Linked DNA regions of Drosophila melanogaster. The protein of the gene in region 2 interacts with the protein of the main gene of each other region in a pairwise test. Each region holds a gene or a part of one and is shown on either strand. Other genes may lie near its edges. The genes, in order: okr and CG12121.

Region 1 (5,838 bases), on a different chromosome or scaffold from region 2:
TGGCCTATCCACCGGTGTACCCACCGAGCGGGGTCTGGTCACCGACGCCAGAGCGGCCATTGACTACCTGCACACCCGCCACGACCTGGACCACTCGCAACTGATACTTTTCGGACGCTCCCTGGGCGGAGCTGTGGTGGTCGACGTTGCAGCCGATACCGTATATGGACAGAAGCTAATGTGCGCTATTGTGGAGAACACTTTTAGCAGCATACCGGAAATGGCCGTGGAGCTGGTGCATCCCGCTGTGAAGTATATACCAAATCTATTATTTAAGAATAAGGTGGGTAGTCGTCGCCGGTTGAGCCCTCTGTTTACTTTATCTCATTACCACATTATTGTTTGTTGTTTCACATGCAGTATCACTCCATGAGCAAGATAGGCAAGTGTTCGGTTCCCTTTTTGTTTATTTCGGGCCTTGCGGACAACTTAGTGCCACCGCGCATGATGCGTGCCTTGTATACCAAATGCGGCAGCGAGATAAAGCGCCTGCTCGAATTCCCCGGCGGATCGCACAACGACACTTGGATAGTGGACGGGTATGGCCGGCAATTAATCTTCACTTTCCCATTTATCCATGGGTGTGCTTGCTTTTTAGGTACTATCAGGCCATCGGTGGGTTTTTGGCCGAGCTGCAGCAACAGCCGCTCCTCAAGGCGCCGGAGAAGAGCAACGTCTGGGTGGAGCTGGAGCATAAAATTATTGATGTATAGACCCGAATACATCAAGTGTTCAATTGACTGTGTTAACACTGCGAATGGTTTAATACTTATACATATACACACGCATAATATTAATCTGTATCTGACAGGGTTTTAATCCGGACGTTGCTATACGCCAAATTGCTTTTTATGTGCAGAGAATAACGTGCTAGCGGAGATGGCTGTTGATTTTAAGTAACCAACTTAAATAACTTTGCGCTTAAGCAAGTGAATACACACTAGAATCCGAATTTCGATGTTTGCTTGTATTTGTCCTAAGCTATGTTAACCTACTACTTTGCCCGATTGGCGGCCAGTTAAGAGTATAGAAATTGATCAGTATTTCACAAAAAAGTAAACTATTTTCTGGACTGACTCCTACATTGCCAGATTAGTTTATAGAAGCCTTCACCCCTAGCACGTTAACATTTTGTGCTGGTTCCATTTTTGAAATGTTAAATTAATAACTTGTTAGGATTGCAAAGGAAGCCAGAAAAAGTTATCTTAAGTTTAGACTTAAGTGCGAAGAAAAAGGAAATTCGAGAAACAATAAACTGCAAACAATTGCTAGAATCCACGGAAGTCCTCATCGGCACTGTCATCACTGGCGGGCGTGGATGATCGTTTGCGGCTTTCTGGTTTTTCCTCTGGCTGATCTGTTGCTTCCTCCTCAGCACTCGGCACAATTTCCTGAGCCTGCGATCGGTGGTGGAAGACAAAGGACACGCACTTGCAATCCATCCAGGCCTGGGCGAGAATATTGTCAGGCAGGCCTCTGTTGTTGGAGCAATGGTACCATTGTGACAAATGCGAGGTGCAGTCCGTGTCCTCGGGCGGTGGCTTCATTTGTATATTTTGAACGCAGCGCTTACACTTGAGCCTGAAAAGATATGTTACACGATCATGATCTAAAGGGTATCCAAAGCCAGTTCTTACTTGTCGTGTGTGTCGGACAGAATGTTCGCATCAAATGTAAACAAGTCCTTCAGATCGTCGCGGGTGAAATGCTTCTCGGCCGACTCGTTGTTGTCAATGATGGTGCTCGACAGGGATTTTTTGTGCGTCTGTCGCTGCAGGATCTTCTCCTCGATGGAACCACTCTGAAAGAGATTTCTTGAGTTGAAAAAGAAAGTTCCGTGCAGAACCAATTCAGGTACTCACGGCAACGAGGCGATATATGTAACAGGGCTTCTTTTGCCCGTCACGCCACACTCTGGCCATTGCCTGCTCATCGTTGGCCGGATTCCAGTCTGGGTCAAACATGAACAGGCGGTTGGCTCCAATCAAATTCAAGCCGCAGCCGCCAGCCTTGCTGCTCAGCATGAAAAGGAAGCTGTCAGACTCCGGGTCATTGAATCGGTCAACAACCTTCGATCGCTTCTTGATGGACATGGTGCCATCAAGCCGGACAAATCCGTACTTTCGCTTCCTCGCGAGCTGCTCGAACAAGTCCAGGGTCTGTGTGTAATTGGAAATGAGAACCACCTTGTCGTTGCCCTCTGCACGTATTGCTGCCAGCATGAAATCCAGGAGCATGAACTTGCCACTTAGCTCTGGATTGAGATCCCTGGAACACAAAAGATTCATTAATAGCCATTGCTATTCGCGCGCAACAGGCGACGTACTTTGGTTTGTAATTACTAGGCAGCACATTTTGGGAGTTTTCGAATCCCTTTTCCCGCGCAGTGAGCTTCTCATATATGAGATCCGGATGACTGCAAATCTTCTTAAGCGTTGTAATGTCTGCCAGCGCCGTAAGCGAAGCCTTTTCATTGCAATCTTGAAGGGAATTGTAAATGGTAGGAATGTTGTGGTAGTATTGCCTAATGACTTACCCGCCAAACTACGTCGAACTTGATCAGACTTCAAGAAATTCGTGTATAGCTCGAGTTGAATCGCCGTCAGTTTCGCACAGATAACCATTTCAAACTTAACCGGCAGATATTTGGTTAGAATTTGATTAGTGCGACGAATGATGCACTGATCGACCAGACCTATCAGCTCCTGTGTCTTCTCTATGGCCCGTTGTCGCTCCTGTTCCGTGGAGTCAGTATTCTGGCCCCGCAGAATAGCGCTCTCGAAGTTGCGCTTAAACACGGCCGCCGTTCCCAGCATCTCCGGGTTTACAAAGTTCACCAGGCTGTAGTACTCAGTAAGATCGTTCTGGATGGGAGTGCCGGAAAGCAAGACCCGTCGCTTTGTCTTCAGTCCCATGAGAGCCTGATACGTCAGATTGTCGCTGTTCTTGAGGCGATGTCCCTCGTCGCATATCACCATTCCCACCTCGTACTTGCACAGGATCTCCGCGTAGATGCGAAATGTCTCGTAGCTGATGAGCAGAACAGGTGTCCCCAGCCGGGCAGAAGTCATGGAGAACTGCTCGAGTGCTCGGATGGTGTTCTCCTTGGTCCCGCCCTCCATGGGCAGGCAAAGGAGTCGACCGTGAAGCCACTTGGTAAACTCCTTCTCCCAGTTCTTAACCAGCGATGATGGAGACACGACAATGGCTTTGTTGATCGTCGGCTTGCACTCGGGCCCCTGCCTTAGAAGTGTCCAGACCAGCGTTACGCACTGCAGCGTCTTCCCGAGACCCATTTCGTCGGCCATGATGCATCCATTGAAGTTGCCCCGCTTTCCCTCCACACACTCGTACATGAAACGCACTCCCTCGCGCTGGTGCGGCCGCAATATGTTGCTCAGCAGCGGATCGACGACGACGTGCACCAGAACCTTGGTCGGATCCATGCCCATGCGCTCGTGTTCTGTGTAGGCGGGTGGATGGAAGAGTACCAAGGCGTTGCAGGCCATCGGATCGTGTAGGGGTCGTCGGGAAATGCAGCGCCGCACGCCCAGGACCCGTTTACCACCGTAATCCGGTACGTAATTGTCCATGGGCACCTTGAACTTCCGTGCCAGAACCTTGGCAATGGCCAACTCATACTCGCTGTTCGCCGTGAAGCGAATAGGCAGTGGGAGCTCTGATGTGTTGCTGGCATCTCGGAGGGCGCCCAGTCGTCTTCTGTCCAGTTCTTGCTCTCGCTCCAGTTCCTGCTGGCAGGATCGCTTGTTTTTCTTCAGCAGTGGCGGCGTGAAGGAGTGACGGGACTCGGGACGCAGTGGTCCACGTTGGCTGGGAGCCAGACTGCGCCGCTTTAGGAATAAATGATTAGGGAAATGGAATTAAATAAATCAAATTTTTGTATTTACCATTTCATTAAATTCAAATGGCGGTAGCGCGAACAGCTGATAGAAGCGCGGAAGTCTGGTCACACAGGCGATAAGAAATACTGGTAAGTGGAACGCTGGGATAATGAAACAGAACGCATTTAATCAAACTAATACTTGTGATCATAGCACGCTGTTTTAAAAGTGAATAGATAATTAGATAAAAATAAAACTAAAATGGAATTGCTACACCCCGATGTCAAAAATTCCCGATGTATCTCAGGTATAATCGAAACATCGATATGTTATATTGATAGCTGCTCATCGCTAACTTTCTATTTCCGTGCAGATATAATTGTAAATATTTACGCAGAATTGCTTTGGAAACACTACGAAAATAGTGCAAAATGAGGCAATAAAGTGCGGGCCGGACTGCCTTCCCTTTCTTGACTTCAAAACCCGCGCCAAAAGCGCGAATTTCGTGCTGCAAGAACGCAAATCTAGTCCGCAAATCTGCGGAAGTGTTGGTACTACCACTTAATTGTATTTGTAATTGTAATTGCCAAAGTGCCAAAAAAAAAAACGCTGCAAATGCTGCAAGCGTGAAAACCCATCTAAGAAGGGCCACTAAACAGTAATGGGTGTAGATGCACGATGCACGGAGAGCGGAAAGCAGCGGAGACGATGACGATGATCAAATCTAAATTCATCAGGTGAGCGAGCAGCAGCAGCAACAACAACCACAGTGAGTGCCCAAATAGGTGGGCACACGTACACAGGTGTGTGTGTGGCTGTGTGCGTAAGTGTGTCACTTGTTGTTCTTGGGAACATTAGAGAAAAGTAAATAGCGAATATTCAACTAAAGTGCGTCTTCTTTTAGCTTCTAAATATTTAAAAAGCGAGCAACATTGAAATACTCACCACTCACACAGTCGGACAAAAGCACAAAACGAGAGATAACAGAGCACCAGCACCACCAATTCATGCCAAACGAAACGCACACGGAGCAGTTATCAGCGGACCAGCGCCACTAAAAGCCACCGAATCGCACACACACCGCACCGACAACGATGTGGCTGCGCCAGAGCAGCGGTGGAGGCGTTGCCTCCGTCGGACACGTCGGCCCACTGCGACAGCGACCCATCGACGCTGCCACAGACTGCGATCCGCGCGCTTGCTACGACAGCTTCTGTAAGCACTGGCAGCAGGCCTTCGAGATCATCCAGCACAGTGCACCGCCCTCGCACGACGACGTGCTGGGCGTGGTCTCGCACTTGGACTACATGGTCACCCTGCTGCTCGTGGAGCTGCATCACTGCAACAAAGTCTCGCTGCCGGCGGCCGAGGCTAGTGGTCCGCCTGCGGCGCCCTGCCTGGAATTCCTGCTCAGCGAGAATCTGCTGGACAAGCTGTACGAGTGGGCCTGCACCACGGGACGGTATGCCAACGCTGTGAGGCTGGAGCAGCTGAAGCTGTACGAACTGCTCGTCAGCCACTCGCGCCACCAGCTGCTCTGCCACGAGCCCTTCCTGCGACCCCTGCTCAAGATACTGGCATCCAGCCAGGGCGAGATCTTTCCGCCCGATCTCGAGAAGCGCCTGGTGATCCTGCTGAACCAGCTGTGCGTGGTTCTTATGCAGAATGTCCACCTGCTGGACCTCTTTTTCTTCTCCGCCCAGACGCAGGTGCAGGAGCAGATATTAAATGGCAACGTGGCGCCACCCAAAAGCGGAACCACTACCAAGTAAGCTCATAACTTTTAAACATTCCAATTCATTCAGCATAAAAAAGAATAGCGATAAATGAATATTTGTGTAATGATTCATCGCGTAATAGCGACATTAGCCAGATAAGGCAATACTAAAAAAGTGACCCTGTAATATTCCAATTACGAGTGATGAATCCACTTGACTTGTTCCATTTATCTTCTAAGATTTATATATTTATATTCTAAGACTTTATTATAAGGTAT
Region 2 (6,130 bases):
CTTCGCCATTGCCGCACTGAAGATGTATTCGGAACGGGAGGAGGTGATCGACTTCTTGCCGCCATACTACGAGCAAACGGGCATATCGATAGCGATCCGGAAGCCGGTGCGCCGCACATCGCTGTTCAAGTTCATGACCGTGCTCCGACTGGAGGTCTGGCTGAGCATAGTGGCCGCTTTGGTCGGTACGGCCATCATGATCTGGTTCATGGACAAGTACTCGCCGTATAGCTCGCGGAACAATCGGCAGGCATATCCGTATGCCTGCCGAGAGTTCACGCTGCGGGAGAGCTTCTGGTTCGCCCTTACGTCGTTCACGCCACAGGGCGGAGGAGAAGCACCCAAGGCCATTTCCGGACGGATGCTGGTGGCCGCCTATTGGCTATTCGTCGTACTCATGCTGGCCACATTCACGGCCAATCTGGCCGCTTTCCTCACCGTGGAGCGTATGCAGACGCCGGTCCAATCGCTGGAGCAACTTGCTCGACAGTCGAGGATAAACTACACCGTTGTGAAGGACTCCGATACGCATCAATACTTTGTGAACATGAAGTTCGCCGAGGACACGCTGTACCGGATGTGGAAGGAGCTGGCCCTTAACGCTAGCAAGGATTTCAAGAAGTTCCGCATCTGGGACTATCCGATCAAGGAGCAGTATGGCCATATACTGCTGGCCATCAATAGCTCTCAGCCGGTGGCGGATGCCAAGGAGGGATTCGCCAATGTTGATGCACACGAGAATGCCGACTATGCCTTCATTCACGATTCGGCGGAGATCAAGTACGAGATCACGCGGAATTGTAATCTCACCGAGGTGGGCGAGGTGTTCGCCGAGCAGCCATATGCCGTGGCCGTTCAGCAGGGCAGTCATCTGGGCGACGAACTGAGCTACGCCATTTTGGAGCTGCAGAAGGATCGTTTCTTTGAGGAGCTGAAGGCCAAGTACTGGAACCAATCGAATCTGCCTAACTGCCCGCTGTCGGAGGACCAGGAAGGCATCACCCTGGAGAGTTTGGGCGGCGTCTTCATAGCCACCCTCTTCGGCCTTGTCCTTGCCATGATGACTCTCGGCATGGAGGTGCTCTACTACAAGAAGAAGCAGAACGCTCTGGAAATAACCCAGGTGCGTCCGGTGAATGATTCGTCGGGGTCCGGAGGCAATTCCTCAACAGCTCCACCCACTGCAACCAGCACCACGAAGCAGGCATGGCACATCCCTGTGCTGGAGGCGGAGGAGAAGCCAGCGAAGGTATCGCCACCGCCATCCTTCGAAACAGCCACATTCAGGGGCAAGAAGCTCCCGGCCAGGATCACTCTGGGCGATGGCAAATTTAAGCCGCGTCATGGACTGTACGCAAGGAGGAATCTCGGTGCCTCTGACTCCCACAGTGGCTACATGGAGTGAGGAGGCCAACATGGCCGAACAAACAAACATTGTTTCTTGTCGCACCTAATTAACAAGTGAAAACTATGTGTTAAATATATAATCGTTTTCTGTTTCATAACTTGTTTGCAACGTTTTCAAATAAACAATATCGCAATCGACTAAAGTATTAATTACATCTGATATTTTCAAGATCTAAAATGGCTAATTTAGTTTGATTTTAAACTGCTAGAAATGTGTTCTAAAATTTGAATTCCCGCTTGCCGCTGTTCTTGGACTAAGACTTAACGGCAAAACGGCTGTAGTGGCAACACTGCGAACCCCCCCACTCGTGTGGTATTTTTAAATCGATAGGTCCGGTCAAATAACACATGCTGATATCGAAGAACGATAGACTTCGATAGATCACCTTTTTTCCCCCAGCAAAAAAGTAAAATTCTTTGGGGTTTTTATCAAGGTGAGGTGTGAATAATAGGAACTGTGACGGCGGTCGCGGCAAATCGATTGCCGCATCTTGGATCGCAGCTAGCGCGGAACTCTGCGCCGGAACGTTCCGCCCGGAATCGCGGGGCAAAAGTGCCACGAAACGTCGCCGAAGAATAGAAGCGGAAAATTTGGGGAAAATACGGAAAGATGTGGGCTCCCGGCGGGGATGTTAAATCAATAGTGGTGCTGGCGGCACTGACGGCGCTTCTCTGGGCCCCACTTGAGGTCCTTGGGCGGAAGCACCATCTGGAAGTGAGGGTAAGTTGGAGGCACCCTTGCCAGCCTGGAGTAACTGACTCATAGTTGACCATGTTACCCGCAGAATGACCGTCGCCAGTACATCGCACTCAGCACCTTTGGATTCTACACTAATGGCCATTTGGATGTGCAGCTCAGCAAATTGACTTTTGACAATGAGCAGTCTACAGATTTGGTAGGTTAAGCCGGCTATGGCATTCACCACTTTCTCATCTGATCCGCTTTCTTCCTTGCAGATGGGTCTGTCGCTGGATAAGACCACTATTGACCAGCTTAATCCCTATTTGGACTCGCATCAAAACAAATGCATTCTCGAGGAATCACCTAAATCCCAGATCAGCGGACCCATTCTCTTCTTCGTGCTGGACCTCAAGGAGCTTAAGTATGTAGCTTCTCTTGTTTTTTTGAGCAGATCCATCTCATTTGGTACTTCTTTTCCTGCAGAGTTCGTGTTAAGTGCTCCCCCGAATGGCACAATATGCACATCTACAACCAAATCCCGTCCAGAACCAAGCGGCACTCACACATGGCCAAGGTCAGCGATTCGGTTCTGTTTCGCCAGACCCGCGCTGCCCAAGATTTCTCCGCCGAGGGGCCAGATGAGTCCATGGAGGATCCCTTGGAGCAAGAACCGACGGATTTAAAGTCTTCCTCGCCTGCTGCGGTTGCAGGCAAAATTGAGCTGCCCAAAGATGAAGGTGCACCCAAGGTAGATGCTCCTGCCCAAAATGTTGATGCTGTCAAAGAGGAGTCTGTTCCCAAGCCAGAAGTGGCTGCCAATCAGAATATTTCTGACAAGCAGGAACTGCCTCCCCCACCAAATGCCGCCCCTAAAGTGGAGGAAGCCGTTAAGAGTGAACAGAAGCAGGAGGAAGCCCCCGCTGAAAAGGATGAAACCCCTTCGAAAAAGGAGGAAACCCCAGCAAAGCAAGTATCCGTAGAAGAGCCAAAAGTCGCAGCCCCACCACTGGCCGTAAATAGCCCAGCAGCTGCTCCGTCCCTAGATGATACTGAAGTTGACAAGAAAAATGAAGCCACCGATACGGACGCAGCTCCCGGAAACCCTTTCCCCCACGAAGGCGATTCCGAAGAAGATTCATATGGACCCGACTCCTTTAAGCAATCGCAAGAAAACCTTTGCAAGGATTCGACCATGCCGCTGGTCAGGGAGACCATCAACAATGTACACTACTACAGCTTCAACTTCTCTATGATGGTGGCCACGCCCAGTGATGAGGGCTTGTACAACCTTTACTTCCACGCCTGTCCCAATTATCACACCTCAAAAATAATGTCCTTCAATGTGAGTACCAGCAACTATTCCACTTGGATCTTATCTAATGGGCCTGACCTTTACTTAGGTGGACATCGAGGAGAACAACAATGGCAACTATTTGTCGGCTGGAGAAATGCCCCTGCCAGCCTTGTACTTCATGATGAGCCTGCTCTTCTTTCTCTCCGGCCTCTTTTGGGTTTTCATTTTGAAGAAGAGCAAGTGAGTTAAAGTGGTTTGGCTGGCAATTGCAAAAATCATAATTGTCTCTTCTCTGTGGCAGGCACACTGTGTACAAAATCCATTATTTGATGGCCGTGCTGGTGTTCCTCAAGTCCCTCTCGCTGATGTTCCATTCGATCAACTATCACTTCATCGAAAAGCGGGGCGAGCATGTGGAGACCTGGGCCATCCTTTACTACATTGCCCACCTGCTGAAGGGCGCCGTGCTCTTCATCACCATCGTTTTGATTGGCACCGGCTGGACTTTTATTAAGCACATTCTCTCTGACAAGGACAAGAAGATTTTCATGATCGTAATTCCACTGCAGGTAAATTTTTATTTGTTATAAGTTAAAACCGAAAACGCACAGACCGTGGAATAGTTCTAATTAGTCATCAGCAATAAAAATATTTTATTGAAAGTTAGTTTTGTTGCGAGGCACTCATGACTGATTTCGTCACGTTCACGGTGAATTAAGACTTGTTTGTCCAAAGAGTAAATAGCGTAATTCCTATAATCTAAAGCTTTGCTGGTTGTGTTTACGATTAATGGCTCATAAAAGGCGAAGTTCGAAGAACGTTTTGTTTGTTTATCTCTAAATACCAAAAACAGTAAACAATGTAACTCATATTCACTTTTTTTCGCCCTCAGGTTCTGGCCAACGTGGCCCAGATCATTACGGACGAGTCTGATCAGAGCGACGCCGAGTTCCGTACCTGGCACAACATCTTCTTCTTCGTGGATCTGCTGTGCTGCGGCGCCATTCTCTTTCCAATCGTATGGTCCATCCGACATCTACATGAGGCCTCTGCGACAGATGGCAAGGCGGCGATCAATTTGCGCAAGTTGAAGCTGTTCCGTCAGTTCTACATCATGATCGTGTGCTATATCTACTTCACGCGGATCATCGTCGATCTGCTGCAGATGACGGTGGTGTTCCAATACGCCTGGCTAGACGAGATGTTCCGTGAGATGGCCACATACGTGTTCTTCGTGCTGACTGGCTACAAGTTCCGTCCAGTATCCTCGCATCCATACTTCACCGTGCCGGACGAAGACGAGGATGACGACGAGGTGGAGGTGCTTACCGAATCTGGTCTCACGGAGACGGTGCACCGTGTGAAGCAGCTAAACCGAAACCACGGAAGCGGCTTGGGCGGAATCACCATCATCGAGGGCAACGATGATGAGCGCGAGAACCTGATTGCAAAGCGGGAATCAAGCCATGAGTACGATTAGGCCCCATAATGGAAGCCAATTGATCTGCATCACCAATATTCCCTGCATTAGTCCGTAGTCTATAGTCCCCGGAGTCTTGGATATAATGACTCAAATTCTGAGCTAGTACTTTACCATTACTTTAATATATTTGTTTTATGTTCAGCGCATCTTAAGAGAAATCAATAAGAAAATCAAAAGCAAACGCGATGGCCATGGAGGGGATAATCTCAGCATATAAACTTGTATAGGGCAACGTCGGCACAACGTTTGGTGGGCACCAACTGCTCCTCCACCACCTCCTCCAGTGCCCGTCCAGTCGCCAGCCAAGGAACCCTTGTAAATAAATAATGAATCCGCTTAACGGAATACTGAACGCTTGTGACACCCAGGCCCTATCCTTGGTTTAAGATATACATATACATATAAATAAATACACTTATGTAATTACCTATAATTTTATGAATATAACAAAGCTTTAATATGTAAACCCAAGATTCAATCTGATTTAAACTGTGGGTGCAACTTGTAGAGATTAAAAACCACATGGAGAAATGCTAGTTGGTGAATCTCTAAAGTTTTTAAGGACAACTTCAAAAGCATATGTTCCTCAGCATTATGTTGACCTAATCATTTTCCACTTTTAAGGATGTCCTACATATAGGTATTGCTGAACTTTGGTATAAACTGGATGCTATAGATCATGTAGGTGCCCACGGAACAGGCCATCTGAAAGGACAGTGGTTATGTGTGAAACCATTACTCGAAGAGCGAGAGTACACCACACCCACCCGAGTTAGAAGACTGCAATCCAGGATGGTCAGGCCGAGGCAATCGATTCGTATCGGCTGATGCAGGAGTTGCAGTGAAAAGTTCTGAATCTGCCAAGAATCAAGGATGGGAAAGTGAGATACGACAGCATGATACCATGGCAGCCCACCTGCAGGGAGAGATCGGGACAGCTGCAGCAACCGGAATCGGTGACTATATTATGCAGCTGGTGGGCGATCCTGGGCACCACGACCATGCAGCTCTGCGAAGCGTATATGAAGGCGGGAATCTCGAGCAAGGCGGGAACGATTAGGTAGTAATCTGTAGGATGATACTCCATATATACTACATGATGTACTTAAATGATAGATCCCCAAGTCACCGTTGTTAATCACATTGTTGTAGATGCTGTAGTACATGAAGTAGCAGTCCACGGCGATGCGTATGTTGATGGTCAGCAGGACGGCGAGAATGGAGAAGTTGAAGGCACCCTGGAAACATTTGAGCATGTCATACA

What was found.
Region 1: the proteins of CG12121 (region 2) and okr interact in a two-hybrid assay, tested with the Drosophila melanogaster proteins (one large-scale study listed by BioGRID).

The regions. Positions count from the first base shown.
Region 1 is NT_033779.5:2,988,799-2,994,636, forward strand, and holds okr (okra), read right to left. Parts: upstream 3,962-5,838; 5' UTR 3,912-3,961; coding exon 3,909-3,911; intron 3,852-3,908; coding exon 2,537-3,851; intron 2,481-2,536; coding exon 2,327-2,480; intron 2,269-2,326; coding exon 1,863-2,268; intron 1,802-1,862; coding exon 1,638-1,801; intron 1,582-1,637; coding exon 1,269-1,581; 3' UTR 796-1,268; downstream 1-795. Other genes in the region: Bem46, read left to right, coding at 1-283, 361-539, 599-713; CG3558 (uncharacterized protein), read left to right, coding at 4,937-5,610.
Region 2 is NC_004354.4:9,228,001-9,234,130, reverse strand, and holds CG12121 (uncharacterized protein), read left to right. Parts: upstream 1-1,752; 5' UTR 1,753-2,017; coding exon 2,018-2,128; intron 2,129-2,192; coding exon 2,193-2,303; intron 2,304-2,364; coding exon 2,365-2,510; intron 2,511-2,572; coding exon 2,573-3,431; intron 3,432-3,489; coding exon 3,490-3,623; intron 3,624-3,684; coding exon 3,685-3,952; intron 3,953-4,275; coding exon 4,276-4,863; 3' UTR 4,864-5,335; downstream 5,336-6,130. Other genes in the region: Ir8a (ionotropic receptor 8a), read left to right, coding at 1-1,405; Gr8a (gustatory receptor 8a), read right to left, coding at 5,497-5,571, 5,634-5,723, 5,783-5,934, 5,996-6,130.